Linked DNA regions of Macaca fascicularis. The protein of the gene in region 2 interacts with the protein of the main gene of each other region in a pairwise test. Links are inferred from orthologs where the notes say so. Each region holds a gene or a part of one and is shown on either strand. Other genes may lie near its edges. The genes, in order: RNF7, CSNK2B and ARAF.

Region 1 (9,858 bases), on a different chromosome or scaffold from region 2:
CTATTTTTATAAGCTCTGATGAAAAGATGTCCTGACAGTGCCAATAGAGAAAATTACTAGAGAAAAATATGCCACACTCCACTATATTCGAAGTTACTATATGCTTACTGGGCATGCTCACAGGCAGTTTATTTTCAAGACACCCTTTAAATAAACCATATATATATGTTAGCATTTGTTTATACATACATCAAAAAACACTAGGATACCCAAGGAACCAATAATAAAGTTTACTGAGAGGGTGTGGAATGGGAAGGAGAGTTTTCACTCCTCTTCCAGGTAATATACATACCTTCCTCAATTTCTGAACTATGTGAATATATAACTTATATAAAAACTAAATTGAAAAAATTTGATTCTTTCATAAATAAGTTTTTTAAAGTCATCCATACTTACTGATACATAAGTTTTCCTTCAGCAACTCATAAAAAGCAACTTTTTACTTTCTACCCTAAGACACTTGAGACTTCCTCTAAAATGAACTGCTTTGTATGCTTCTAATAGGTTGCTACTGATGGTCATCCAGACAAGGCTGGTGAGAAGCCAGTGAGACACAGAGGGGAAAGCAAGGGCTGCGGAGCCAGATCTACAGTCAAATCCCATTTCACTGGCATTTATTAGGTTCATGGCCTTGGACCAATTACGAACTCCAATTCCCTCATCTGTAAAAAAGGGACAATACCGTGAGGTATTTATACATTAAGTGGGAATGATATATACTGGTGAGAATTTTATAGATAAAATAAGTAAATACTAGATATCCCTAAGCACTAAGGTTTTTTTCTTTGTAAGAAAATGCTTGGGAGCTAAATGATGAGAACACATGGACACACAGCAGGGAACAACACACACTGGGGCCTTTCGGAGGGTGGAGGGTGGAGAGGATCAGGAAAAATAACTAATGGGTACTAGGCTTAATACCTGGGTGATGAAATAATCTGTACGACAAACCCCTGTGACACAAGTTTACCTATGTAACAAACCTACACTTATACCCCTGTATCTAAAATAAAAGTTTAAAAAAAAAATACTTCCTTTACAGGTAAGTCTGAGCCCAAAGCATTTACCCAGCAATGGTAAAGTACTTTAATAAATTACTTTATTAGTGGTTTCTTGGGTATCCTTCTAGAATTTCTTGATGTACATATAAACAAATACTAACATTATATGTATGGGTTATTTAAAAGGGTGTCTTGAAAATGAACTGTCCATGAGCATGCCCAGTGAGCTTACAGTAACTTCTAATATAGTGGAGTAGGTGTAAACACTAAAAATGAGATCCTAAAGGCTGTACTAGAAGTTTTCAAAATTCAATCTGGAATACTATCAGCTTAATGAAAAAAGTAATATAGAATATTTTAGGGACCAAAAATGGACTCATTCACTAGCTGGAAGAGGAGTCAGTGTTGGGTAAAAGGAAGTTCAAACCAACAGAAAATAGTTTTTAACATAAATAGGAGAAAAATAATTCTGTAAAAATAGAAACATGGTGGAGTTGAAGCCTGCTTCTCTTCTTATACTGGGTTTTGCTCAGGCATTTGTTTGCTCCTCTCCACATGCTCTTACCCTTAAAAACACACCACCGCCCTAGTCTCTTCAGTGTGGATTAAAAACAACCACTGCCTCCTGAGGTTTTCTTCAATCCCACAATTACTCCTCTGTGCAAGGTGTTATGCACTGGAGACACCAAAATGACCAAGGCTGGGTCTCAAGGGGCTCACCAGCAAATGGGGACGTAGACAGACAACTAAATATCATGAGGGTTGTGATACAACAGTGAAGACGTGCTACCTGTATCTGGCTCTAGTTCTGTGCAATCACAGAATTTTAACATTAAGGTTGGTGATCCCAACTGCCTCTTTACAAATTAGGAAAATAAGGCTCCCAAAAGTTACGTGAAATATCTAAGGTGATACAGTCATGAAGGGTTACCCTGGCTATTATAACTGGCTCTACTAGCAAACCTATTCAACGCTTTTCATCAGCACTTTGCTCACTATGCAATCATCACTCTTTTCTGAATGAAGGGAGGATAGTGGAAACGAAGATGAGAGTGTTACCCATATCAGAATGGGCTGACAGGCAAATCTTGGGAGCAGAAAGTATAATAAATCACAAGTGTGAGATAAATTCCAAATACTAAGGAAAGGGAACAAAGTGGGTTCTTGTTGCTGAATCTAGGAATCTCTAAATTACGCTTATAGCTCTAATGTAGATTATCAAAACTGACCCAAATCTACACAAATTCCTAAAGTTGCAGATAAAAGATAAAAATTTGCTTTAATGATCTTCCTAGAATCTAAAACAGCACATTTCTAAGGAGTACAATAACACCTTTTAGAAGGGTGCTAGGGTAAAGACTAGGAAGTCTGGAAAAAAAAATTTCCTTCTGCTGTCACCTGACCTCTAAGTGGGTTTTAACACCTCATAAACAAAATACAAAGGTCTAGCCTAGAATACTTTCCTGAACCCAAAGTACAGCTGTTTGCAAATATGCAAGACTGATCCTGTAGTAGCAGAATACTTGCTATAATTAGAAAGTTTATGATGAAATGTGTCATTTATAGCCTATACTTTGACCTACATTAAAATATCTCAGTAAAGTTTATTTGTTGCAAAGTTTCAATCATTATTTCAGGTTATACATTTCCACTTACTGCTTAAATGTTTTTCCTTCGGGGAGGAAATAGCTTTTTGGGAGAGAAATCTTTTGAAAATACCCTTTGGGAACATTATTTTTAAACTGAAAAGGAACTAAGTGAAAGTTTAGTTTCCTTTAAACTAAAGGAAATTTATTTAGGAGATAAAATGTTTAGCAAAACTTGTATTGCAAAAAAAAAAAAAAAAAGTCTCTTGGATCAGTTAAAAAATGCTTCCCAAACTGGAAACTATGATTCCTAAGTGAGGGTAGGGGCAGCTGTACTGCTGGCAAATAAACTAGATACTTTTAAAGCCTAATATGTTTTGTTTGTTTGTTTTTGAGACAGGGTCTCATTCTGTCACCCAAGCTAGAGTATCGTGGCAGTGGCAGGAAAAAGGCTCACTGTAGCCTCGACCTCCTGGGCTCAAGGGATCCTCCCACCTCAGCCTCCTGAGTAGCTGGAGGCCACCATGCCTGGTCACTTTATTTTAATTTTTAATTGTAGAGATAGGGTCTTGCGATGTTGCCTAGGCAGGTCTCAAACTCTTGGGCTCAAGTGATCCATATAAAATAAGTGGGTCATGTCTAATAACAAGGTCTTTCAAAAGTAAAAGGTAAAAATATCTGAATCCAATTGTTGTAAATCCTCTTTGAAACAAGCCCTTAGAATAAAAGACAAAAGAGCATAAATTGAGAAATCTCTTGATTCTGGTAGGTTTAAAGTCTCATCCCCCCTCAAGGACAGCAATTCTCTTTATGTTCTCCAATTCTCTCATTTTTCAAGACAAGTCAGTTTTCAACCTACAGAAATGTCTGTTTTCTTTAACTACCCTCAATAAAGAACTCCACTGAAGATGCTCTCACAGTAATTTTAAATGCCCTATCTGAAAATACAACTTGCATTTAAACAGCACTTGCTTTTCAAAGTGGTCTGAGATCTTAGAACCATATAAAATATAACAAGATTAAGCTGTTCTGAAACATTTTGCTTGGTCTAATATTTTAACTCCAAATATCACAGAAAGAGGACATATTTGTAAGAGGGTTCTCCACAAAGGCATGACTCAGAGCAGGGCAGTATCTTCTCCAGGAAATGACATCCGATATGGAGAGGGGGGTGTAATGGAGGTGAAGTTCTACATTTCTGAAAAAAGGGCTTACAATTCTTCGGCTTCCATGAAACTTAGATATTCTTGAACCACACTGTCCCCTTCAAGCCACGCTAGTGCTATCTGACCCGTCTTAGATCAATCCAGATTTAAAAGCCATTCGAAGAGCGGCGGTAAGCTAATCCGGAAATGCAATGGCTGTGAACACTTCCCTGTGTACCTCGAGGAGAACTAAGGGTGTCGTTTTGTGGAAGATGACTCCGGAGCATCACTTTGATGGTGACCAAGACTATTAAAGTTCACTGCTGAATCACGGCCTTTACTCTGTCCACCTTGCGATGAGCTTTTAGAACAGGGGCTGGCCACACAAACCGAAGTGTTTCCTGCTAGTTCCCAACAATCACCCGGTTTTATTTTCCTGGTCACACCCATCACTACCTGAAATTACCTTGTTTACCTCCGTTTATTGCCCATTTCTCTCCCTAGAACACCAACCACCCGGCGCCGGGCGCCTGTTGCACAACCCCTCAGCCCTCAGGAGCCGCAACAGGATCGTGGCTCCGCGTTCCTCCGGCGCCCGGGCAGGGCGACCTCCACCCACTCCCCAAGGCAGGGGACTTTCCAAGGCTTCTGGCGGGCGCCCGTCCCGTCCCAATCCCGAAGTCGGCTCCCGGAGGCCGCAGCGCGGCCCCGGCCTTGCGTGCAGCGCTTACCCATCACCTGGACCCTGCAGATGGCGCACGTATCGCACTCAACGTCCCAGCTCCACATGGCCACCGCGTTCCACTTCTTGAGGGAGAACATCTTGTCGCCTCCCGACTTGGAGCCTGAGCTCCCGGAGTGAGACGCCAGGGCGCAGGTTTCCTCTCCGTCTTCCACGTCGGCCATGGCGGCGCCGCGGAGCCGACGGCGGAGACGTTGGCTTGGGGTAGGCGGGAGGCTAGGGCGGCTCTGCCGGGCCGCCCGACGGGCCACAGCGCCGCCCGCAGGCCGCAGGCCACCGTGGTGCCCAGACCCCGGCCACCCACGATTGGCTGGCGCGGCCCAGTGACGTCACCGGACGCCAGCGGCGAGGGGGCAGGCAGGCCCCGCCCCCGCCCTCCTGGGGCGACCGAGCGGGCTTGGGGCTGCTCGGGGCTACGCTGCCGAATCCGCCTGCGGCGCTGCGGGGTGTTACGTCTGAGCAGGCGCACAGATTGTGCTGGAATGTGTGTCCTGCTTTATGGCTTCATTAAAACTACTGCTCTCAGAAATAATCTTGTTAATTTACTTGTTTGTCTCTTCCCTCCCAAGTGTAAAACTCTATCAGAGCAGGGAACATGTTCTTATCACCACATTGTCCTCGGTATCTACAAAATGCCTGGCCACAAGAGGCACAATTATTTCTTGAGTGAATTAATGATCTTAAAGATCTAGAAATCTGGCTCAGTGATTCTCAGACTTTTTGGTCTCAGGACTCCTTTTCACTTAAAAATTATTAGTCCCTTAAAGAGCTTTTATTTATGTAGGAAATGTATAAATATATATATACACACACACATATGTATGAATATATATACATATATACAATGAATATATGTACATTCATGTATAATGAATATTCATACATTTCCTGTATATGTATACACACGTACATAGAGATTAATGTTTCTTTTTAAGAAATTAAAACATATTTTTAAATGTATTCATTAAAAATCACAGTAATAACCTCATTAGAGGTTATCATTAGAGGGATAACTTCACATACCATGTAATTTCTAGAAACTCCCGTGTACACTCGTAGAATGAGAGTGAAAAGAGAGAAATAGCTCTAAATATTGTTAGGCAACTAGTTTGCCCTCTTTTGACCCCTAAAAGAGGTCAGGATCCCAGGAGTCCCGGTGTGTGGCGACACAACCCACACGTATTTTTCAGGCCCTGCTTCCTCATCTGCAGAGTCTCCATTCCTTCTGCTCAGTACATTTGAGCTAGTTTAACTTCCTCTTTTTATATGTAGGACTAATGAGGTCCGAAGAAGTGAAATGACAAAGATCACATTGTTATTACAGTAGTGCTTCTACTGCTAGCCCACCATCACATGTGTTTCCAAGAAAGCAGGCATCTCCACTGAAAAGAAAGCAGAAGCACAGACAGCCTAAGGAGATGCCTGATCCCACCGTCACCTAGTGGTGGACACCTACTCTGTCAAGTTTGGATTCTGAGCCTCTCGCCATCCCCTCATCTCCTGATACCTGGGCAAAAGGTAACCAGGCCAATGGAACCTGGCAGGGGAAACAAGAATGCATTAATCTATAGAAACATAAATATGGACGCAGGGTCACATTCGGTTAGATGGAAATGTGTATTTGTTGAGTGGTGTGTTAAGGGCTGTGAGGGTGCAGGATGCAGTGAGGGAAAGCCTCATGGGAGAGGTGAAGTTTGAACTGGGGGAACATGGGAGGCCTTCAGGGCCTTCAGGGCCAGTGGAGAGAGCAAACCTCTCTGAGCTGTTGGGCAGAGCAGAGCACAATGGTGGTGGCAGACAGGAATTGGACCACACCAACTTTATAAGCCAGACACCCATTGGAGTGAGCACACAAAACATGTGTTCCCTTCTTACTGAACGACCACACATCTGCCTAGAGATGGCTGTAAATGCTAGGTATCTAACAAAGAGAAGGATAAAACGCACCCAGTTGGTGAGAAGTTTGAAAGACAAAAGGATGAAATGGTGAAAAGGGAGAAGGATGGCTTTGCTGGAGGAATGGTATGTGCCCTTGCTGAGCCATGAAATCTGGAGAGAGGTGTCGGCTGCGGTGAAATTTGAGAATAGAAGCCAGGCGGGAGCATAGGGGCGGGAAGTGGAAGGCGGATTGGGGAGATGAGTATGGTTTTGACACACTGCATGTCAGGAGAACTTTTTCTCCTGACAAAGAGAACAGGAATGAGTGATGCACCGGAGTTCAGTGCAACAAGCAAGCATGCATGGGGAGAAGGGAAAGCAGGAGTGAGGTGGAAAGTTCAGGCTGCAGCAGCTGTTCAGGCGTGGCGGGGCCAACGGGTCTCCTGTGATTTCCCTCCTTTGGTTCACCTTCATGAGAGCTTGTCTGCCATCATGAGCACCCAAAGGGCAGGAACTATAGGCGGCCTTGAATGCAGCAAAACAAATATCTGTCCTCCTCATGGCCTGCTCAGTTCCCACTCCACCACTGTGCGTTGTTCCTCTCACCAGTCCTTGGTGTGTGGGGACACAACCCACACTTATTTTTCAGCCCCCGCTTCCTCAGCTGCACAGTCTCCATTCCTTCTGCTCAGTACATTGAAGACGTAGTTTCTTTAATTTTGAGGACTTCTCTTAAGCAAAATATTTAAGGACTAACTGATAAATATTTAGGAAAAGTTTGTCTCAGTACAAGTGGACATTTTTGTTATTTCTTTGGTCCTCACTCCAACCATCATTTCCCCCTTCTGTGCCATTCATCTTTAACAAAATAAGTTTTCCTGTTGTCAGGGAAGTAAAACTTTCCCTCTACCCTCTTAGGTTCAGTATTTGGGGGGATTGCAAATTAAACCAACAAAACACAGATTAGCAGGAGAAAAGATAGATTTTTATTCACCAAAGTAGTCAGAGTTCACAGAAAGTTATGACTCAAGGGGCAATTAGAATTTGGGGCTTATACACTGTCTAAATAAAGGAAAGGGAGAAGGAGAAAGGGCACTTCTGGAAAATAACTTTCAGAAAAGATAAACAGGCCTTTGGGAGAATAGATAGGAGATATGATAGTTTTGTGACAAAGTCTATTAGCTGATTTATTATCCCAGTACCAACTTCTTGTTTCTAATGATAGGGTCAACCTTCCCTGGTTTTAAAATTCCTGGGAAGGAATTTAAGACAGTTGAATTCTTTTGAGAGGCATTGCTTTTAGACAGGTAAGTTCAGGGAAAAAATTAAAATAAAATAAAACAACTCTTCCTGCATCTGTCGATTCTCAAATGCCTTTCGCTCAAAATAATCCTTATGCTATAGAGGCATATTCTGGACTTCTTTCCTGCACTAGGGAAAGAAATAAAAACAAAAACAAACCTGATGACATTTGCTTGTTGAGCTGGAGTAGTTTCCCCAAAGGGACCAATGTTTGGAACTATAATGACAAAGCAAGAAAATTGTTCCTAGAGGCTAGAGATCAAAGCTAGCCTGAAATGTATATGCTACCTCCTCCTGGGAATGTCCTTCTAAGCAAGTCTGCTCTCCATCACACTTGTCAGACAAGAGTTATGGCTCATCTTTTTTCTTGGAAATAATTGTGTTCATGTCCATAGGTCCCTGAGCATTTGCTGGTCTTTTTTGGTCAGATGGAACCCTCCAGTTCATTTGCCTCTCTTGGTCTTAGATGACAGTGCTGTGGCCATAAATTATTAATCCTGCTGCCCCACTCCCCCAACACACACACACACGTGCACACACATCCCATACTGAAAGCGTACATTTGACCAAAGCAATCAGCCTTTGTTGGAGAATTCCTTAAATCCTCCCAACATTATATTTCATTCATCGTAAGACATCAATCATCAACTGTGTGACGTAAATCAATTTCAGATGTGAAAAAAGAAGTGACGTAGAATATTTCAGAATAGATGAAAAATGAAAGAGAGAAACCCATGCCTAAATTTCATGATGCCTTCTTTAGAAACCTGGTGACTTTGCTGAGAAAGTAGAGTTTTGGGGATCGATTTTAATCCATTTGTCTAAAATTGCTCCACATTGAATCTTCTGAAGCTGCAGGTGTGGATGAGTATAGCACTGTGTGTATGCTTTTACCTCTTTTTTGAAATCTGCTGAGTTTTTCTATTAGATATTGGTGACATCTGCTTGAATGACTCATTGTTGCTTCATACTCGACAGGTGAAAGGGAGTTCATTTCCTTTCTTGCAAAATTTAGCTTTCTTTCAACAGTTTGCTTTCTTTGCCTGAGATGTAATTCTCTCCTAGGTATAACTGTCCTGGTCTGAAACCACAGTCACTGTTGACTCTTTCCCCTTCCTCACCCTTCATACGTAATTATCTGTTCATTCTTTCTTTAGAAGTTTCTAGAATCAACCAGACTTTCCATTCCCATTGTGGAATCTTAACCTCATCACCTTGTTTCTGGATTACGGTGTCCTGACTTCTTCCCTGCCTTTCCTCCCCAGTCTAAATCCCACTCAATCTAACATGCCTGGTTAATTTTCCTTCCTCTGACATTCTCCTGCTCAAAATGTTCCAAAGCTCCACATTATCATCAGAACGAAATCTAAATGTCCTGATTGTTCATTTAAGCCCTGCCACAATATGGCCCCGACCTACCTGTCAAGGCCATCCCCGGCACCCCTCTGCAGGATCCTCGTGAGATTGGTCTGCACAGACATCCAAGCGTACCATGGACTGGCTTTTCCTCAAAATCGGACAGAACTTCCCCTGCCTTCTTCAGCTGGATTGCCCTCTGTGCTTAGAAAAAATGTACTCATCTTTGTGTTCTCGCTGGCCACTCTTTGCCACCACATATTCATGTCCTCCCAGGAAATCACAGGATTTACTGCGCTTCTTCTGCACTTTTGGCACCAGGTCACACAGCAAGCAAAGAGTGCTGTTACTGATGTTTAACAAGCTCATCATAATTTATTGAACAATTTTAAGTTTTTAAAAATTGACAGCTCACAAATGATAAAAACAGTAAAACAGGAATACAATAAAAACCCAAGTACTATTAATAGACTCTCCAGAAATTCCTGTATATGTACAAGCAGACACACAATGCATCAATTTTTAAAAAAATTTTAAATTGTGGTAAAATATGCAAAATATTTACCATCTTAACCATTTTTAAGTGTACAGTTCAGCAGTGTTTAGTATGTTCACAGTGTTGTGCAAACAATCTCCAAAACTTTTTCATCTTGCAAAACTGAAACTCTGTACCTATTAAACAATAACTCCCTCCTCATACATCCTCTCAACCACCATTCTACTTTCCGTCTCTGATTTTGACTACTGTAAGTATCTAAGTGGAGGCATGCAGTATTTGTATTTTTGTGACTGACTTATTCACTTAGCATAATATCCTTAAAGGTTTATCCATGTTGTAGCATGTGTCA
Region 2 (9,723 bases):
AGGAAGCCCGAGTATCCATGGCCACGTTCCACCCCCTTCCTGAACTCAATTACCCCTTCCTCCCTCCCTGCCCCTGGGCCCCACTTACCCTTTCCCACTGTGAAGCCCACCATGACCAGCACACCTACAAGTATATGGGCCTTCATTATGGAATTCTGGGGAGACGGGCAGTTCCTGAGGGATGCCCTGAAACCCCACCTTCCTGTGACCACACTCCTTAATCCTGAGTTGCAGGGTGGTTTTGACAAGGTCTGAGGAGCTGCTGTAAATGCAGAGCTATATTCCTGCTTGGGGCAGGATCCTGGTTGGGAAGGAAGTTATTAACTTGGCAGGAGGGACAGCATGTCCTCACCCACAACGTCTGGTTCCTGAGTGTGGGAGCAATGGCCCAGACGGGGTAATATCTGGGCACTATCTGGTTCTTTATCCAGTGTCTACCTTTGTCCTGCATACCCTCCAAAGACCTACTCCCTCCCTTGGAAAGTCCATGGCTTAGTGTCTATCTCTGCCACCATGTGCTGTCTTCCTCATATAACAGGGCCAGTCCCCACTGTGCTGGGACAACCTGGCCTGGAAATCAAGCATCCCCATCCTTCTGAGATGGGCAGTCCCAGCTCCAACAGCAGGCAGCACACACACACATCACTGAGCAGTAATTCTGGACCTTGTCCCACCTCATTCCACCCTTAGTTATACTGACTTTAGGGCTACTTTTCCTTTAAAACTGAAAGATGGAGTTGCTGATTAAGCACCTTACAGTATAGACAGACAGTTATAGGTATCCAAATACTTCTCATCTTTAAAACATGCTTTTTCTGTCTTTTCCTTTTGACCTTGCACTTCATCACACACAGTCCTAGGAATTCTGTTCTGCTCTATACTAAAAACATCACCCAATTCACTGAGCACAAATCTGTCCTGGTTTTCAATCTGGGGAGGGTGGGCTGGGCCATGAGGGCCCCTGGAGTCCAACACACCATCACCTTCCCTTCCCCAACCGCAAGCACCAGCAGACTAGCTCATGGCCTTTTCTTCCACTTTATTTCATATTCCCACCACAATAATGACTCCTTTAATTTAAACTAAAAACCATACAGGGTTCCTGAAAGGGTGGCAAAAAGGAAAGGAAGTGCAGGACAGGTGGGGTAGGGAATCAGCGAATCGTCTTGACTGGGCTCTTGAAGTTGCTGGCGGCTTGGAGCTGCAGCTGGTAGGCCATCGGATGAATCTTGAAACCGTAGAGCCTGGACCAGGGCAGAGGTCAGAGAGGCAGTAGCATGAGCCCCATCCAGACCCTGCTAGTCACCTGCATTCCCACCTCCCCACCTGAACTCCTCCATGGACCTGCTCAGAGCTTAAGCCTAGTGGTTCCCAACTTCTCAGCTCAAGAACATTCTATGATAAGGTAACTGAAGCACAGACAATCAAATAACTTTCCCACAGTCACTCCGCAGGGAGATGCCGATTCTGGGAGAAGCAGGCCTCAAGAAAGGGCCATGCCCCATCCTCCCCTCTCTCTGGGGGATCTTAGGCCTTTCCTTTGACCCTTAATGACTCTCCCTGCTCCCTACCTGGGCACAAACTGGTTGGCGGGTCTCTTGGGCCGGTACTCGGGATGCACCATGAAGAGCATGTGAGGGAAACCAGTGCCAAAGTAGGCGCCATCCGTGTGATGGTGTCTCGATGACTTGGGTGTGTACACATCCATGCACTTGGGGCAGTAGAGCTTCACCATGGCTTCACCTGGGATGTCTGAAAGGCCTGGGAGACAGCCAGACTCAGCAGGCCAGGTATCTCCCTGTTCCTACTTAACCTCCCCTCAGGACTCAGGCCCCAAGATGCTGAGCCCTAACTCCTTCCCGTAAGACTGCCACAAGGTGCCTTCCTTTCCCTTCTTCAACACTCACCGATGGGAAGCATTGGCTGGTTCTCACAGTACACACGAGGACAGTAACCAAAGTCTCCCTGCTGGTACTTTTCCAACTGAAGTGAATAAAATGGAAGGGGTTGGCAGGTAGGTGTGAAGAGAAGAGGCAACTCCCTTCTCAGCTCAACCCATATCACTCTGTCCCCCACTCCTCCCACCTCTGTCCAGAGGCCCCTTCTCTGGCCCAGATGGGCTCTCAAACTCCTATGTTGCCTTTCTTCCAGTTAGGCAGGCTACAAACCATCAGAGCCATTTGTTGTTTGTTCCCTGAGGAAGAGGCAGTCTATCACAACTCTCTGTTCAAGGACTGTCTCCCTCCCTGAAAATTATCCCTTCAGGATGACCCCCAATCAGAATTCAATTCCCAGGCCCAAGCCTGGGGTTCTTCTCCTCTTCTCAGCCAGTTTCCTTAAACAAGGCTTAAACATGACTTCTTGCTGCAGGAACCTGTGTCCCTTACTGCTCAGAAGGAGGCAATTAGGAGCAGAGAGGCCTCACCATCTGGGCAATGCCACGGTTGGTAAGGATGTAGCGGGCGTGGATCAATCCATAAAGCATCTCGGCAGCCTGCTCAATCAGGTCACTCTGGTTGGGGTTGTCTTCCAGTTCTTCATCTGAAACACAGCCCGGCCAAATGCAACCACTTGTTTTTCAGCTTTCCTAGGTGCCCTGCCCATATCCAGGGGGTGCGGGCTATTCAGTTCGCCTGGCACCTACTTTTGGGCCTTACCCCATCCAACATCTGGGCATGTGACCCAGAAACCTGGGCTTCTGACCCTTGCGCCAACCCAAGACAGCTCTGTCTTCTCTTCACACCTCTTTAGCCTCCGCTCCCCACTCTCCCTCCCAGCTCCCTCCCCGATACATAACTGCAACAATGTCAATGCAAAAGATGAAACTCTAGACTGGAAGGTGCAAAGCAGGAGAAATAGCAAACCAGACCCATGAGGAAACATATTTTGGAAAACATCTGAATTGTGGATTTAGAAAACATGGGAACAAGTGATATACGTCACAAAACTAGACACAGTCAGGTGGAGGATCAAAATAAAGCATGAATTTGGGGTTAAAGAAATCAGAGAACCAAAGGAAATTTCAAAATTCAAGTAAGTGAATATAGATTTGAAGAGAAAAAAAGTGCATGCACACACACAAAACAACCCTGAGGGTGCCTCACCAGGCTCCAGGTCCAAGATCATGTCTAGAGCTTGTCGATAGTGAGGAACCTGCTCATTGAGTCCAGTAAGATTAAATTTGTCCTGGATGTAGTCTTCATCCACCTGTTGGGACATGGAAGCCAAGAGGGAACCCATATCAAAATCCCCATCTTTGACCTGGGCAAAATGCTCTAACTGATGCCTTATCATCAACACAACTGCATCTGTTCCGCTTGTTTCTCACTCCCAACTCAGCAGAAGTACTTGCGTCTCTCCCTAGTTCACCTATACTCCCTCCCATAAAGCTTTGGCTTTTCTTTTCTAAGGATAAGCAGGTACAGCAATCTTTTTCTTAGACATTCTTTTCAAGATCTCTGTCCCTACTCCTGTACTCCATCTCTAGGAACCAGTTTTGTCCTCTCAGCTGGCTGAGGAGGATGGAAGCTGAACGGCATGGTTTCTGAACAAAACATTTCAATACGTAGCATTTCAATTTTCCTAACAGCCAGCTGAGACAGGTACTAGCAGTACAACTTTAGTAATAAAAGATACAGGCTGGGCGCAATGGCTTATGCCTGTAATCCCAGCACTTTGGGAGGCTGAGGCGGGCAGATCACCTGAGGTCTGGAGTTTGAGACCAGCCTGGCCAACATGGTGAAACCCTGTCTCTACTAAAAATCCAAAAATTAGCCGGGCGTGGTGGCGGGTACTTGTAATCCCAGCTACTTGGGTGGCTGGAGCAGGAGAATCGCTTGAACCTGGGGGGCAGAGGTCGCAGTGAGCCGAGATCGCACCACTACACTCCAGCCTGGGCGACACAGTGAGACCCAGTCTCAAAAAAAAGATAAAGAAAAAGACACAAATTGCCTGCTGGAGGGTGGCAGAGTCGAAACTTGGGCCCCAGTTTTGCCACTTTAGCACAGGTTCGTCGGGGGTTATTGAGGGGACTCTTCGTTGATGGGAAGTTTTCAAGTAGTATGTAAGAGAACAGTGTAGAAGTGGAATACGTGAAGGAACATCTGGTGGGAAGATATGTGAAGCCAGCAAGTAGGGAGGTCGAAGAGAACTCACTTCACAGAAGAATTCATTGCCACGGAGCCCACAGAACCAGGAAATCCAGGACACCTCCTCTGAGCTGCTCATCTTCACGTCAGCTGAAAAAAAGAGTGTCAGTAAAGCTCAAGTTCTCCTTCCCTGCCTCGGGTATCCTCCCTCCTCCCACATTAGAACCACCCTTTCTTAAAGGATCCCAAACTCTGAAGCACTCCTCTCCAACTCCTCCAATTTACATCTCAGTTCCCTTTTCTTTGACGTTAAACATTCTTTGGGGTCCCACCACTTGAAAGAAGCCAACAGATACTTTGACCCACCAGCCCGACCCACGTCCCTGGAGCTCCCGAAAGCCAGGGCCCTCTCTTCTCTGTGTCAACTCCGGCAGGGACCTCGACTCAGGCTCCGTACCAATGCAAGTCTCTGCACGACCCCGGCGCCTTTCCCAAGGATTTCCAAGTTTATCACTCTCAAGCAAGAATCGGGCGCCTCCTTTTCTCAAGGGTTGGGGGCGACTGTCAGGTCCCTTTCACCGGATTCCACACATCCCCCCTCCGCTCCTCAAGCCACCTCTCCCTCCTTGCCGGACCTGGTTGCTTCCTCCCCCCGCCCCCATATCAAAGTGCGGAGACCCATGTGCGGCTCCCAGCGACAAGCGACTAGGAGCAGCGAAGACCTCAGACTCACCAGCTGGACGGGGACCAGGACTGGGGTGGGGTAGGGAAGTTGCTACTTCGAAGGAACGGCGGCGACCGCTACAGCGCAGGCCGCGGACCCGACCGCGGCAGGCGAAGTGGGGTGGGGGGAGTGGAAATTGGGGAGGGTGGGGAAGAGGGCAACACGCAAGCGCCAAGGGTCAGGTGCCGCGGTGGATGCCGGGACGCGGAGTCCCCGGTAGAGAGAGAAACCGGCTAAGTGAGGGAAAGCGAACTACCAATCCCAGGATGACCCGCGCACGACCTGGCTGTCACGAAGCCCCGGAGGAGGACGCTTGCGGGCGGGGCGCAACGAGAAGCCACCGGAAGCGGAAACCAGGTATGGCGTTCGGGGCCTGGGAGCCTGGGCAATACAGTTGTGTGCTCACTGGGCGAAGAAGCTGACTTAGGGCGGGGAAAGGAGGGAGCCAGGCTGGACCCCTCCTCGCAGCTCTCCTCACAGTTGCCCTCTAGTCCCGACGCGGTGCTGCTTCCCTGGGGACTGGCCTATCCTTGGCCAATGCGCTGGGTCCTTATTGCCTGTTGGGCCCCTAGTGCGAGTCAGTCCCGCCAGAGACCCTTGACGGGCCTTCTGTTTTACTCCGGGCTCCGGCCTCATGAGGCGAGAGGTGCGGCTTGGCTCCGTGCGTAGGGACTTGGGTTGGGAGGGCTGGGCTGGGCTGGGCTGGGCTGGGCTGGGCTGGGCTGGGCTGGGCTGGGTGAGAACCAGAACGGCCCAGTGCGCTAACCTGAGGTGGTGCCAGCCATTCTGCTCGTCCCCTTGCACTTCTCCATTTCCCCTTAGTCTCTAAGTGTGACCTTCGAACCCTGGTCAGAGTAATGGTGAGGGGCAGGCGTGACGTTATTTCATTACACGGCTTCTCGGCATTCCACAGGTTTCCCTCCGCCTCCTGAGGGCCTTTCCTAACCCAGAGAGTGGATTCCTAGCTCCAGAAAATGGGCTTGGAGCGGGGGCCACGTAGAGGAAGGCGAAGGGCATTGTGGGGGCGTTATGTAAAAGTAGGACCCCAACCGACAGATCCTAGCGCTCGCGCCACCTGGGCGCGCGGAGCTTTGCTCGTTTACTATTGGAAAAGTTCCAGCGCGGGAAACTGAACCGGGAGCTTTGCGCACGCCTGAGCCATCAAGTAATGTGGGTGGTGGTTTTTGTTGTTGTTGTCGCCACGCATGCGTCTCCGTGCCGTGTGGCTATTTGATTGTGTCAACTCTGCTGATCAGAATAGCGCCATTTTGCGTTACGGAAGCTACACGGCAACACGTATAGGAGCCTCTCCCCGAGATCTTCTAGGGAGTGACCCGTCTATTTTTGTTTGGGAAGAGGAAACTCCGAAATGGGATCACGGAAGACTTAAAGGGCCAGGTTTGATTTTTTTTTTTCCTACTGGTATGTCTGTTTTACGGGGTGAGAAAGTGATTTCAGAAAGAGGCTGGTATTTATTGTTGGTAAGGATGGGGGTGGGGGCCGGACGCAGGACCTCTGGACGACTGTCTCATGGAGTTTGATTAATCTTTACTAAGGAGCAAAGTCGGTATTGTAGGGTTTCGTGTTTTTACGCATATACTCTCTCCCTTAGACCCTGCAGAGTCTTAAGTTGTGGGGTCACTTTAGCGGCAGGAAAGTGTTTTTGACTACTTTTTCTCATCCCAGCAGGTCCCTGAGGCTCTGGTTGCTACAGAGTCACCAGGAGCTTGGCTTGCTTGTCGCATCCTTCCCTTGCCTGGTATCATTTTCTCAGTTCTCCCAAAAGCCATGTCCCAGCCCTTCCTCATCACCTTCACCCCAGCCACTGACCCCAGCGACCTCTGGAAGGATGGGCAGCAGCAGCCACAGCCCGAGGAGCCAGAGTCCACCCTGGATGGAGCTGCAGCCCGAGCTTTCTATGAGGCCCTTATTGGGGATGAGAGCTGCGTTCCTGACTCCCAAAGATCTCAGACTGAACCTGCCAGAGAAAGAAAGAGAAAGAAAAGAAGAATCATGGGGGCAGCTGCAGCAGAAGCAGTGGCAGAAGGAGTATCAGGAAGATATGGACAAGGGAGATCCCTTGAGGCTGAGGATAAGATGACTCACCGGATACTGAGGGCAGCCCAGGAGGGGGACCTGGCAGAACTTAGGAGACTGCTGGAGCCCCATGAGGCAGGAGGAGCTGGGGGGAATATCAATGCTCGGGATGCCTTCTGGTGGACCCCACTGATGTGCGCTGCTCGAGCGGGCCAGGGGGCAGCTGTGAGCTATCTCCTGGGCCGTGGGGCTGCCTGGGTGGGGGTCTGTGAGCTGGGTGGCAGGGATGCGGCTCAGCTCGCTGAAGAAGCTGGCTTTCCTGAGGTGGCCCGCATGGTCAGGGAAAGCCATGGAGAGACAAGGAGCCCAGAGAACCGGTGAGGGGAAACTTTAGCTCAGACCCCTGTCTCATTGTGTTCTGCCTCTCCCAGCCACTCCACACCAGAGGCCCCAGCACAGTGCTGAGTTCTTTCCTTATCCTCATGTGTAGGTTGACAAGGTAGTATAGTCAAGTGGTTATGAATATGAGCTACCTGGATTTAAAGCCTGATTTCACTTACTTGGGCAAACAACCTAATGTCTACATGTTCCAGTTTTCTCATCTTAGAAATGGGGTAGTAAGGATTGTTGTTAGGATTCAATGGGTTAATATATGTAAAATGCTAGAATAGTGCATGCTGCATAGTATGCAATATATGAATGTTAGCTGTAGTCATTATCACTAGTATCCCTCCCCTTGCCCAAGAGTTTGCTAGGCCTGGTTACAATTTTTTCTTTTCAACTCTTCTGCTCTGGGTCCCACAATGGTTTAAATAAATTTGTTTTTAAGACCAGTAGTGAGAAGGAGGGGAAAAGTAGAGTAAGGAGTTTGATCTGTAACTGAGTGAACAGTCATTTCAGATAACACCACCACCTTTGGACCAGCCTGGATTCCCTCATTATTAAGTAGGAAGGAAGTCAATTTGTCCTTTTTTTTTTTCCCCAGACAAGGTTTTACTCTGTCACCAGGCTGGTGCGCAGTGGCGTGATTTCAGCTCACCGCAACTTCCACTTCCCGGGCTCAAGCATATTTTTTGTAGAAAGCAGGTTTTGCTGGCATGGTGGCATGTGCCTGTAATCCCGGCTACTTGGGAGGCTGAGGCAGGATAATTGCTAAGGTGGAGGTTGGAGTGAGCCAAGATCATGTCACTGCACTCCAGCCTTGGCAGCAGATTCAAGACTCCATCTCAAAAAAAAAAAAAAAAAGTAGGCTGGGCACGGTGGCTCAAGCCTGTAATCCCAGCACTTTGGGAGGCCGAGACGGGCGGATCACGAGGTCAGGAGATCGAGACCATCCTGGCTAACACAGTGAAACCCCGTCTCTCCTAAAAAAAATACAAAAAACTAGCCGGGCGAGGTGGCGGGCGCCTGTAGTCCCAGCTACTCGGGAGGCTGAGGCAGGAGAATGGCGTGAACCCGGGAGGCGGAGCTTGCACTGAGCTGAGATCCGGCCACGGCACGCCAGCCTGGGCGACAGAGCGAGACTCCATCTCAAAAAAAAAAAAAGTAGGCTTTGCCATTTTGCTCAGGCTGGTCTCAAACTCTTGAGCTCAAAGCGATCTGCCCACCTCTGCCTCCCAAAGTGTTGGGATTACAGGTGTGAGCCACTATGCCTAGCCGGCAATTTGTTCCTTAGCAGAAAAGCTGAAAGGATCCTCTCCTACCCTGCCAGCCCTCTCTCAGGCCTCAACTCTTCCCCTTTTCCTTCCCCTGCCGTTAATGCTTTTTCTTCTTTTTCTGCAGGTCTCCTACTCCCTCCCTCCAGTACTGCGAGACCTGTGACACCCACTTCCAAGATTCCAACCACCGCACATCCACTGCTCACCTGCTGTCACTGTCCCAGGGTCCTCAGCCTTCCAGCCTTCCACTTGGGGTGCCCATCTCCAGCCCGGGCTTCAAACTCCTACTGAGGGGGGGCTGGGAGCCAGGAATGGGACTGGGACCCCGGGGTGAGGGCCGTGCCAACCCCATCCCCACTGTCCTCAAGAGGGACCAGGAGGGACTAGGCTACAGATCAGCACCCCAGCCCCGAGTAACACATTTTCCAGCTTGGGATACCCGAGCTGTGGCTGGGAGGGAGAGAGCCCCTCAGGTGGCCATGCTGAGCCGGAAGAAGGAGAGAAGGAGGGAGGAGAAAGACAGGGCTTGGGAGCGGGATCTAAGGACTTACATGAACCTTGAGTTCTGACTTTGGTAAAATCTGACCCCGGTCTGCTGCTGAAGTCTGAACTTGGGCCTCTGACCTGGGCCCTTTGACTTCCCCTTCCTGGGATCTGCCCAGGTGCAGATCCTCAGTTTTTGGTCAGTGGACTCTGTCTTTGTAAGAGACGGGCTGAGAGTGATAAATAAATCAACCTTTTGTGGTTTATTCACTTTTCTGGAAGCTATTTTGAGGAAGCCAAACAAGCCTGGGAGCCACATGCAAGTCCCACCTGAGCCAGAAGGGGCAGCCTCTCCAGGTGGCAATGATAAGGTCACCTCCCTGCCAATCTGGGTTCACTTTCAGGTCCCAGCCCCTCCTGGGAGTGCCCCACCTATTCTTTCAACCCTCCTGGACCATGAATTGCCCAGCTCCATGCAAGTCTCACTTCCCCCAAGAGGAGTTCCCTGACTACAGCCAATTCACTGATTTCACAAACATAAGTCCATATACTATGTGCCAAGAATACAGGTAAAGACATTCCCAACCCTCAAAAAAGTTCATGGCTGAAGGGGGAAACAGCCATGTTATCAATTTTTTTTTTTCTTTTTTTTTGAGACGGAGTTTCGTTCTTGTCTAGGCTGGAGTGCAATGGCGTGATCTCGGCTCACCACAACCTCCGCCCGCCAAGTTAA
Region 3 (9,739 bases), on a different chromosome or scaffold from region 2:
TAATAAAAAGAACTGATTATTTACACTATACCAGATCCTGTTCTAGGCACTGAACATGTCTTAACTCATTTAATCCTCAGCAGAACCTTATATGGTAGAAAGTATCATTATCCCCTCTTTACAGATGAGAAAACTGAGGCCCAGAGAAATCAGGTGACTTGCCCAAGGTCCCAGTTTCATGCCCTTACTCACACTTGTAGGTGCTCAATAAATGTTTGTCAAGTAAACAAATGAATAAAGTATGGCTTGTGGTCTACAAGAGTCCCCAGATCTTTTTCTCCCCCAGTAGCCCTTCAGCTAAGGCACCCCTACCTGGGACCCTGGGGGGTTAGCAACTCATTCAGGGGGCGGTTCGAGGGAGCCTCATGTTGTCTGGAGCCTCCGGACAAATCCTGGACACTGTGGTAGAACCTTGAGGGCATGAAGGGTATAAAGTAAGGGGACACAGGTCAGCTGTCTGTAAGGGCCTTGTGGCTGGGTCTCTGTGCTCCCCATCCCCCCACCCACCCCAGGCTGGGCTCACTGTTGGCGGTTGGTACTCATGTCAACACAGACTGTGGGGACCTTGGAGGAACAATGCTGGTGGAACTTGTAGCCACAGGTTTGGCAACGGAAGCCATGGAACAGAAACTTAAGGCAGAAGTCACAGAATGCCAGGCTGAAGAAGGTCTTCCGTACCTGATGCCGCAGAGCAGGGAAGTTTGAGACCTGGCCAAGGATACTCCCCACCATGATCCGCCCCCACCATCCACCCTGCACTCACAAAATTGTGCATGGTCAGCGGGACATCTTCAAGGACCTCGACAATGAGCTCCTCGCCATCCAGGGGAGCAATGGCTGTGTCCCAGGCAGTGACTGTCTTTCGTCTGCAGGGGGCATGGAAAGGAATGAGTGGGAGGGTGGGCAGGGGCCATGGTGAGGCAGGGAACCGCCACAAGTCCCTCCAAGCCTGCTACCCACAGGGTCATGTCTGGCAAGTTTAATTCTCATCATAGCAACTCTAGGAATTAGTCATTATCCTTGCCCCCACTTTACAGATGGGAAACAGGCTCAGAGGGATAAAATGACTGGCCCTGGGCCACAAGAGTAATGAGAGGCAGGACGGTGTGAAGAGTCCATGCTCTGAAACGGAAGGGGAGAAGCAAATGAAACTAAACAACTACATCTTAGAAGCGCTAAGCCAGCCCCCGAAAAGGGGGCTGAGGAGGCACTGAAACAACAAATAAAGTGCACTGTGTGAACTGCATAAAAAATTAAGGAACCCCACGAGAGAGGAATAAATAAGGTCAGCAAGACCCAACTCAGCAGACAAAGAATGGGGAAAATGAGGAAGAAGAGAGCTGATGAAGTCATGACATCGTGAAAGGACAAAATAGATGAAATCTGGGAGGAAGTGATGGACCAGGGTGAGGACTTGGGGTCCAGGGGAGAATGAGTTGGTTGACCTTACAGGCCAATGAACCAATGAAGTAACAAAACAAAAGATGGATGAACTCATAGATTACTTGAACTACAGTAGTCCTCCCTTATCTGTGGTTTCACTCTCCACGGTTTCAGTTACCTGTGGTCAACCGGGTGGGAAAGTATTAAATTGAAAATTGCAAAAATAAACAATTCATAAGTTTTAAATTGCGTGCATTCTGAGTAGCATGATGAAATCCTGCACCATCCCACCCAGGATGTGAATCATCCCTTTATCTAGAAGATTCACACTGTTTATGCTACCACCCATCACTCAGTAGCCTGCTCAGTTATCAAACAACTGACTCAATATCATAGTGGCTGTCTTCAAGTGATCGCCATTTTACTTAATAATGGCCCCAAAGCACAGTAGTGTTGGTGGCAATTCGGACATGCCAAAGAGAAGCTGTAAAGTGCTTCCTTTAGGCAAAAAGGTAAAAGTTCTTGACTTGAAAGCAAAGAAAATCATATGCTGAGGTTGTTGAGATCTACTGTAAGAAAGAATCTTCCATCTTTTTTTTTTTTTTTTGAGACAGAGTCTCGCTCAGTCGCCCAGGCTGGAGTGCAGTGGCGCGATCTCGGCTCACTGCAAGCTCCGCCTCCTGAGTTCTCACCATTCTTCTGCCTCAGCCTCCCGAGTAGCTGGGACTACAGGCGCCCGCCACTACGCCCGGCTAATTTTTTTTTTTTTGTATTTTTAGTAGAGACGGGGTTTCACCGTGTCGGCCTGGATGGTCTCGATCTCCTGACCTTGTGATCCACCCGTCTCGGCCTCCCAAAGTGCTGGGATTACAGGCGTGAGCCACCATGCCCGGCCGAATCTTCCATCTTTGGAACTGTGAAGAAGGAAAAATAAATTCATGCTAGTTTTGACGTCATACCTCATATTGCAAAAGCGATGGCCGGAGTGCATGATACATGCTTAGTTAAGACGGAAAAGGCATTACATTTATGGGTAGAAGACAAGAATAGAAACATGTTCCGGCTGATAGCAATTGGGTTCGGTGCTATCTGTGGTTTCAAGCATCCACTGGGGGTCTTGGAACACGTACCCTGCAGATAAGGGGGGACTAAAGACTAAGGGAAGACTAATGGAAGACTCTGTGATAAAGAACAGAAGGAATCAAATGACTGAGGAGGGGATGGGAGGTGGGGCACCCAGTGGGTGGGCGTGGGGCTGCCACACTCACCCCTTGATGAGTCGGTAGACCACACAGCAGTCCTGATTTAGACCCCGCACCTTCAGGGCCTTGTCTAGAGAGTCGTAGACACTCATGCCATCCCGGACAGTCACCTGTGTATATGTGCAGATGTAGGGGTCCTCATTGCCCAACAGAGGCCACAGTTGATGTTCCCATCCTTTTGCAAAGGCCTCCCCCAACCGTTGTCACCCTTTTGATCCCAGAGTTACAACTGGGTCCATCCACAGCCCCTGCCATTTCGCTTCCATGACTCACCACCGTGCGTTGCTTGTTGGGCAGGTACACTTTGACGGTGCCCACTGCCCGGGACGGCTCGGCCCCATTGGCAGGGGGGCCCCGTGGTGGCTCCATGGAGCCTTAGATTTTGTCAAGATGGGCTGAGGTGGGGCTGGGCAGGTGCCATGGGGCTCCTACAAGAAGGCAGACAGAATTCAGAGGTCCAATAATGAGAGTCTGGAAGCAAAGTGGCAGGGGACAAAATAAAATTCAAAGTCCAGGCTCCTGTCGCCCCCTGCAGCCTAATTTTCACATGACAGCCCAAGAGATCCTGCTCACATCTGAAGTCCTTCTAGTTCCTCCTCTGCTCAGACCCTCCTGTTGCTTTTCTCACTCATGAGTGCCAAGGTCTCAGCTTCACTGCACAGGGTTGGCGGGGAGAGAAAAAGGAAGGGGGACAGAGCATACTGTCCTGGAGGGTACAGGAGCACAGAAGACTCTGTGCTGGGGACTAATGGGGAAGTCAATACACACTGCACTGAGCTGTCAGGTACATAAGAAGCACAAACAGAATGTCCTGGTTGTTTTTTTTTTTTTTTTCTTTGACAGAGTTTCGCTCTTGTTGCCCAGGTTGGAGTGCAATGGCACAGTCTCAGCTCACTGCAACCTCCACCTCCCAGGTTCAAACCATTCTCCCGCCTCAGCCTCCTTAGTAGCTGGAACTACAGGCGTGTGCCACCACGCCTGGCTAATTTTTTGTATTTTTAGTTGAGATGGGGTTTCACCATGTTGGCCAGGCTGGTCTCAAACTCCTGACCTCAGGTGATCCACCGCCTCAGCCTCCCAAAGTGTCCTGCCTTTTTAACAGAGAACGGGGGAAGTGCCAGATACTCTGGTGAGGGAGGAGTCGCAGGCAGGGTGATGGGAAAGAGAGGATCATGAGATATTGCCCTTAGTGTGGGGAAGATGGAGGTTGCACCAAACATATCCTTAAAGGGCACTGTGGACATCCCTAAGCCCTGGGGTGTAATGTTGATGTTAGGACCACAGACACCGTGTTAGGTGGCTAATGGAAGTCCCAAGACTTTATGATGAGGAGTTCATGGGTGGGGGTCACTACATACTATGCGGAAGGGAGATGTAACAGGTGTCACTAGGGACTGTAATGGGGAGAAGGGTGGAAATGGAAATGACCAGACATCGAGCCAAACTGGGGAGGTAATGGTGGATCACCAGACACTGTCATAGCAAAAGGAGAAGGAAGGTATGGTGTTGCGGGGAGAAAAATGGAGGTAAAGAGGGAGCTCCAAAATTCTCCTTGACAACCAGTGAGGGGGTCACAGGCACATTACTGGTGTAAACTGAATGGGGGATCATGGAAGGCGGTTACAGAGGCGAGAATCCTGACATTCTCCCCCCCCCAGGGGGTCAGACACTGATCCAGAATAAGGAAACCGGGGAGTGAACCCCGTTTCCACACACTCCCCGCAGTTGGTAAGGAAAGGTCATTGGACACCTTAGGGGGTTTAAGACGGAATCCCGGCACCAGTCGGTAGGGTCCCGCCTACCAAAGGGCTTCCGGCTCTGCGCAGGCGCACCACCACTAGCAGCGGGCGAAACCATCACCCGCAGCCTTGCCCGCCTATTCCTGTTACCCACCCCACCCCCGCTGTCGACGATGGTCTCGCCCCGGGTCAAACCACTCCTCCGGTTCCGGGCGGGGGACGCCGGGGCCCGGGCGCAGCCATCCTGGAGCTGAGCTTTCGGTCCGGGCGCCCTGCCCGTGCCCGGCAGCCGCTCCAGAAACCGAGCCCTCCCGGGTCCGCCCTCACCTGTCACGCCGCTACAGCCACCGCCGCCTCCATCTTGGGCCTGTCTTCTTGTTTCCTCACAGAGTCCGCCTTCGCCGTCTCTCGGACTCTCGTTATTGGCTCTGCGGGACTCATCCTTCCACTCTTATTGGATCAAGGTCACGTCTGTCAAGGCAAGACCAACGGAATGTGAGTCGTGTTCCGGATTAGGAGGGGCAGCCTGAAACGTCAAGATCGGGGGCAAGCGCAAGTCCTGACTCGCGCAGGCGCAGTTGGGGCAAGACCTGCGTGCCTGGGGCTTTAACCTCAATAGTGGCATAGACGAATAAAGCAGGACTTTTTAAGGTCATTTGGGGCTGACCTTAGGGCTCTGGCATCTGGACGGAGAAATCCTTAAGTACCCTTTTTGGGCCAGTGCCCTAAGCACCCTTTTATTATTTTCCTGTGTCTCAGTTTTACCATCTTTGAAATGGGTTGGAATCAGAACAAATGATCGGCGATGTTCACCGGCTCTAGGAGACTGTAGTTCATAGCCTTTGAGGACAGCGGGTCTCTGGTGTGGTGGGGGTTGGGGGGCTGGCCCTAGGAGGGGCGGCCTTCTGTCTGGGAGGCTTCCTTTAGGAATGGGGTTGATTAGGATTTTGAAAAACTAGTCACAGGTGGCCAGGTGAAGAGGGAAGTGCGGTGAATGGAGCACGATGCCAGTCAATGTGTGGAAGTACTGTGGGGTAAACACAAATTTTTAAAAATCGAATTTTCCCTGGTGTCGAGAGAGACGTCTCTCTTAGAGCATTTCCTTTAGAAAACTTGTAACTGTAAAATTTTCTCTGTCCCTTTGAGATGTAAGTCTTTTAAAATGCTAGATCTCTTGCCAGTTTTACAACCCCGGAATGTTTTTCTTAAGAGCCTCGTAGCCATCTCTTTGATGAAATGTAAACATCAATGAAAATAGCACCCCTGTCTTCCCGTCTTCATGGGAATTTGATCTGCGTGCCTGGCTTCAAGTTATTACCTGCTTGTCATAAAGATACGAGTTTTCGTTTTCCTTTGGATAAAGGCAATTAACTAACACAGATAGCCGCACCAATTACTAGGTGAATTTGGGATGAAGTATGTGTACCAAATGGTGCTGTCAAGTTTCTTACTTGAGCACAAGTTACTGTTTGAGAATATGTTTGTAATGGGCTGTATCTGCCTGTTACATAAACGGATGAGATTTCTTTTGTCTTTGAAACCTCTTTAGCCGATTGTTTGTGATGTGCATCACAGTCTGGTGCAGTGCTTATTCAGTAATAAAACTTTCCATTCTTGCCGGGTGTGGTGACTGATGCCTGTAATCCCAGAACTTTGGGGGGCCAAGGCAGGCGGATCACTTGAGGCCAGGAATTCAAGACCAGCCTGGCCAACATGGCGAAACCCCGTCTCTAGTAAAAATGCAAAAAAAAAAAAAAAAAAAAAATCAGTTGGGTAACTCAGCTTCTTGAGTAGCTGGGACCACAGGCGCCCACCACCATGCCCGGCTAATTTTTATAGTTTTAGTAGAGACAGGATTTCACTATGTTGGCCAGGCTGGTCTCAAACTCCTGACCTTAAGTGATCTGCCCACCTCGGCCTCCCAAAGTGCTGGGATTACAGGCTTGAGCCACCACACCTGGCCCCAACTCCACTTTTCTATTTGAATCTTCACCATTTAATGGCTAAATAAAATTTTTAGAGAGACAGAATCTCACTATGTTGCCCAGGCTGGTGTCAAGCTCCTGGTCTCGTTCTCCCAACACTCTAGGATTATAAGCGTGAGCCACCATGCCCAACTCCAATGGCTAAAATTAAAAAGACTGACAATACTACGTATTGATGAGAATGTAGAGCAATTGGAACTTTCATACATTGCTATTGGGAGTGTAAAGTGGCACAAGCACTTTAGAAACAGTTTGGCAGTTTCATATAAAATTAAACATAGACCTGCCATGCAATTCAGCAATCTCACTCCTAGGTATTTACTCTAGAGAAATGAAAACACGTGTCCAATGGTGTGCTGGTAAATGTTTAACAACCAACTCTCCAGGAAGAAAATGGCTCTAATTTGTACTGTCCCCGTGGCTTATTTCAGGCTACTGATGTGACAGTCGCTGAACCAGATTTAAAAGAGATGCACAAAATCTGCTCTGGTGAGCCAGCTACAACATGCTACTATTGCAGTATATCTGCACAAAAACTTGTATGCAAATGTTCAGATTAGCTTTTTCATAATATCAAAAAACTGGAAACAGCCCAGGTGTCCAGAAACAGAACTGACAAAGAAATACAACAACGGGGTTATGGAATACTACTCAGCAATGAAAGGGAACAAATTACTGACATATAGGAAGAGCATAGATGAATCTCATAGACATGGGGCCAAATGAAAAAAGCCAGACACAAAGGAGAAATACTGTATTCCACCTGTATGAAATCTAAACCAGGCAAAACTAATCTATAGTGAAGGAAATCACATTAGATGTTGTTTTGAGGGAGAATGACTGGGAAGTACATTAAAGAACTTTTGCAGGTGATTGGAATGTTCTGTATGCATTTGTCAGAACTCATTGAACTCTATTTTTATTATTATCTTTTTTTATTTTTGAGACAGAGTCTGGCTTTGTCACCCAGACTGGAGTGAAGTGGCACAATCATGGCTCACTGCAGCCTTGACTTCCTGGGCTTAAGTAATTCTCCCACCTCGGCCTCCCAAGTAGCTGGGATTACAGGCACACACCACCACACTCAGCTAATTTTTAATATTTTCTGTAGAGATGGAGTCTCACTATGTTGCCCAGGCTGGTCTTGAATTCCTGGGCTCAAGTGATCCTCCCACCTCGGCCTCCCAAAGTGCTGGGATTACAGGCATGAGCCACCTTGCCTGGCCTCATTGAACTCTATACTGAAAATGGATATATTTTGCTTTATGTGTAATATACCAGAGTAAGAACTGTGTGGCAAAAGAAAAAAAAAAGAAGGCCTCAAACATAATTCTAAACGTTTGTGTTTGTACAAATTCTTACTGGTTGGGGAAATTATTTTGAAAAAATTCTTTTTTTCTGAAATTAAATCCCTAAGCCCTGAATCTCCATCTCCCACTGCAGGAGTCCTGGCAACCACCTCAGTGCCAGTGGGGTCAGGAACAACTCCTGTTTGGAGCTCAGTGAGGGGCTTTGGGGAGGGGAATAGGGGAGTGCATTTTATATTTCAATTCACTTAAATTGTTTAAAAACTTTAATTCCTAGGCATTATTTGAAGACAGACTTCTGGCTCCATCGTTCAACGTTTATAAAAAGATGAGAAAAATGCCAGCAAAAGCTCGTTGCTTTCGCAGGATAGGGGGAAGGAGGGGAAGGGTAGGGGACACAGCCCACTCAAAGGCAATGCTTTCTCCCCCAAGAACTCATAGACTCACTTCACACCCATCTCAACTGGCACTTCAGCCAAGTACCTTACAGGTACCTGACACTTTAAAGCATGAAGGCCTTTAAAGTGATTTAGGTTTGGTTTGGTTTTGCGACAGGGTCTCGCTCTGTCACCCAGGCTGGAGTGCAGTGGTGCAATCACAGCTCACTGCAGCCTCGACCTCCTGGGCTCAAGCGATCCTCCCAGAAAGCTGGGACCACAGACGCATGTCACAGCGCCTGACCTTCTTGATTTTTTATCATTATCATCACCACCATATTTAAACCATTAGAAGTACCATGTATTAAAACAAAAATTAAAACCCAAACTAGCTGATTATAGTTCTCTGACATCCCCCTTGTAATTATCCATCTGGAAAAAAATGTAAAGCTATCAAAGTACTTGTTGATTTTTATTGTTGTTCATTTTAAAGTCTCAGAAACATGCCTGAAAATTTTTTTAAATCTCAAGTGTTCGCCGACTGCCGTTGTAGTGCTACTTTTATAGCTGAAGACATTAAGGTTCAGGCTGCCCTCACCGTAGGGGAAAAGGAGAGAGTGCTTCGTTAGATAAAAAGTGTTTAACAAGGGTGCGGCCATGGGCACCTCCTTAAGGAATCCCAGATCCACCCAGCAGTCCTGCCTGCCTGGAGACCTCCTCTAAAACGTGCCACTCTCATTTCCCAAAGCCGCCGACCTCGCCGGCCCCTGCTGCGGCCTGGAGAGCGCCATCTCTGGGACCCCATCCCACCGCCGCCCTCTCAGCTGTTCATTTCCGGGGAGATGACCATGCGTGCACATTTCTCTGAGGCCGGGAACACAGGTTTGACTCAGGGCGCTCAACCACCAGCTCCTCTCTGCCAACCCAGGGAGCCTCGATTCGCTCCAGGTCCCCCAACAGGCAGCGAGATCTGCCAATGGCAGTGCAGTGGAAGGCGGGCCTTGGGATACCCCAGGCATTGATAGGCTCTACTTCACCACGGAGCCACTGACAGACCAATAGCTATGAACAGGGGGTGGCCAATGGGAGGTGTGTGGGCCTGAGACCGGCTACAAACCAGGAACTTAATGTTGCTTTTAAATTAGTGATGAGGCAACAGTAATTGTTCTATCGAAATCCTTAATAAAAGTAGAATGTGGAAGTTTCCACTTCTGTACATTCCTGGAAGGGATTTTTAATATACAACCCTGGAGGGGAGAGGTGTAGGAAATTTACAACTAAGTGAATTTAACCATGACTTTTTAACTGTTCTTATTAAAAAGTCTTTCTTAGCAAAATTCATTGAGTAGTAATTTCAATGTGCTATCCCTATGAAAAACACACCATTTAACCGACAGAGTTCTTTTTTTGGAGACGGAGTCTCGCTCCGTTGCCCAGGCTGGAGTGCGGTGGCGAGATCTCTGCTCATTGCAACTTCCACCTCCCCGGTTCAAGCGATTCTCCTGCGCCAGCCTCCTGAGTAGCTGGGACTACAGGCGCCCGCCGCCACGTCCGGTTAATATTTTGTATTTTAGTAGAGACGGGGTTTCACCGTGTTGCCCAGGCTGGTCTTGAACTCCTGAGCTCAAGCAATACGCCTGCCTCGGCCTCACAAAGTGCTAGGATTACAGGCGTGAGCCACCACGC

What was found.
Region 1: the proteins of CSNK2B (region 2) and RNF7 interact in a two-hybrid assay, tested with the Homo sapiens proteins (2 studies listed by BioGRID). The link is inferred for Macaca fascicularis from reciprocal best matches to the Homo sapiens genes CSNK2B and RNF7.
Region 3: the proteins of CSNK2B (region 2) and ARAF interact in a two-hybrid assay, tested with the Homo sapiens proteins (2 studies listed by BioGRID and IntAct). The link is inferred for Macaca fascicularis from reciprocal best matches to the Homo sapiens genes CSNK2B and ARAF.

What each region holds. Positions count from the first base shown.
Region 1 is NC_088376.1:44,563,268-44,573,125, reverse strand, and holds the start of RNF7 (RING-box protein 2), read right to left. Parts: upstream 4,662-9,858; 5' UTR 4,639-4,661; coding exon 4,464-4,638; intron 1-4,463. UniProt on the Homo sapiens protein: Catalytic component of multiple cullin-5-RING E3 ubiquitin-protein ligase complexes (ECS complexes), which mediate the ubiquitination and subsequent proteasomal degradation of target proteins.
Region 2 is NC_088378.1:140,051,997-140,061,719, forward strand, and holds CSNK2B (casein kinase II subunit beta), read right to left. Parts: upstream 4,925-9,723; 5' UTR 4,822-4,924; intron 4,239-4,821; 5' UTR 4,228-4,238; coding exon 4,156-4,227; intron 3,208-4,155; coding exon 3,105-3,207; intron 2,542-3,104; coding exon 2,426-2,541; intron 1,984-2,425; coding exon 1,908-1,983; intron 1,762-1,907; coding exon 1,572-1,761; intron 1,245-1,571; coding exon 1,154-1,244; coding exon of another isoform or gene 1,078-1,153; 3' UTR 1,023-1,077; downstream 1-1,022. Other genes in the region: LY6G5B (lymphocyte antigen 6 complex locus protein G5b), read right to left, coding at 89-146; GPANK1 (G patch domain and ankyrin repeat-containing protein 1), read left to right, coding at 6,601-7,226, 8,632-9,076. UniProt on the Homo sapiens protein: Regulatory subunit of casein kinase II/CK2.
Region 3 is NC_088395.1:47,653,581-47,663,319, reverse strand, and holds the start of ARAF (serine/threonine-protein kinase A-Raf), read right to left. Parts: upstream 4,770-9,739; 5' UTR 4,712-4,769; intron 3,074-4,711; 5' UTR 3,015-3,073; coding exon 2,919-3,014; intron 2,756-2,918; coding exon 2,652-2,755; intron 867-2,651; coding exon 764-866; intron 679-763; coding exon 524-678; intron 412-523; coding exon 313-411; intron 1-312. UniProt on the Homo sapiens protein: Involved in the transduction of mitogenic signals from the cell membrane to the nucleus. May also regulate the TOR signaling cascade. Phosphorylates PFKFB2.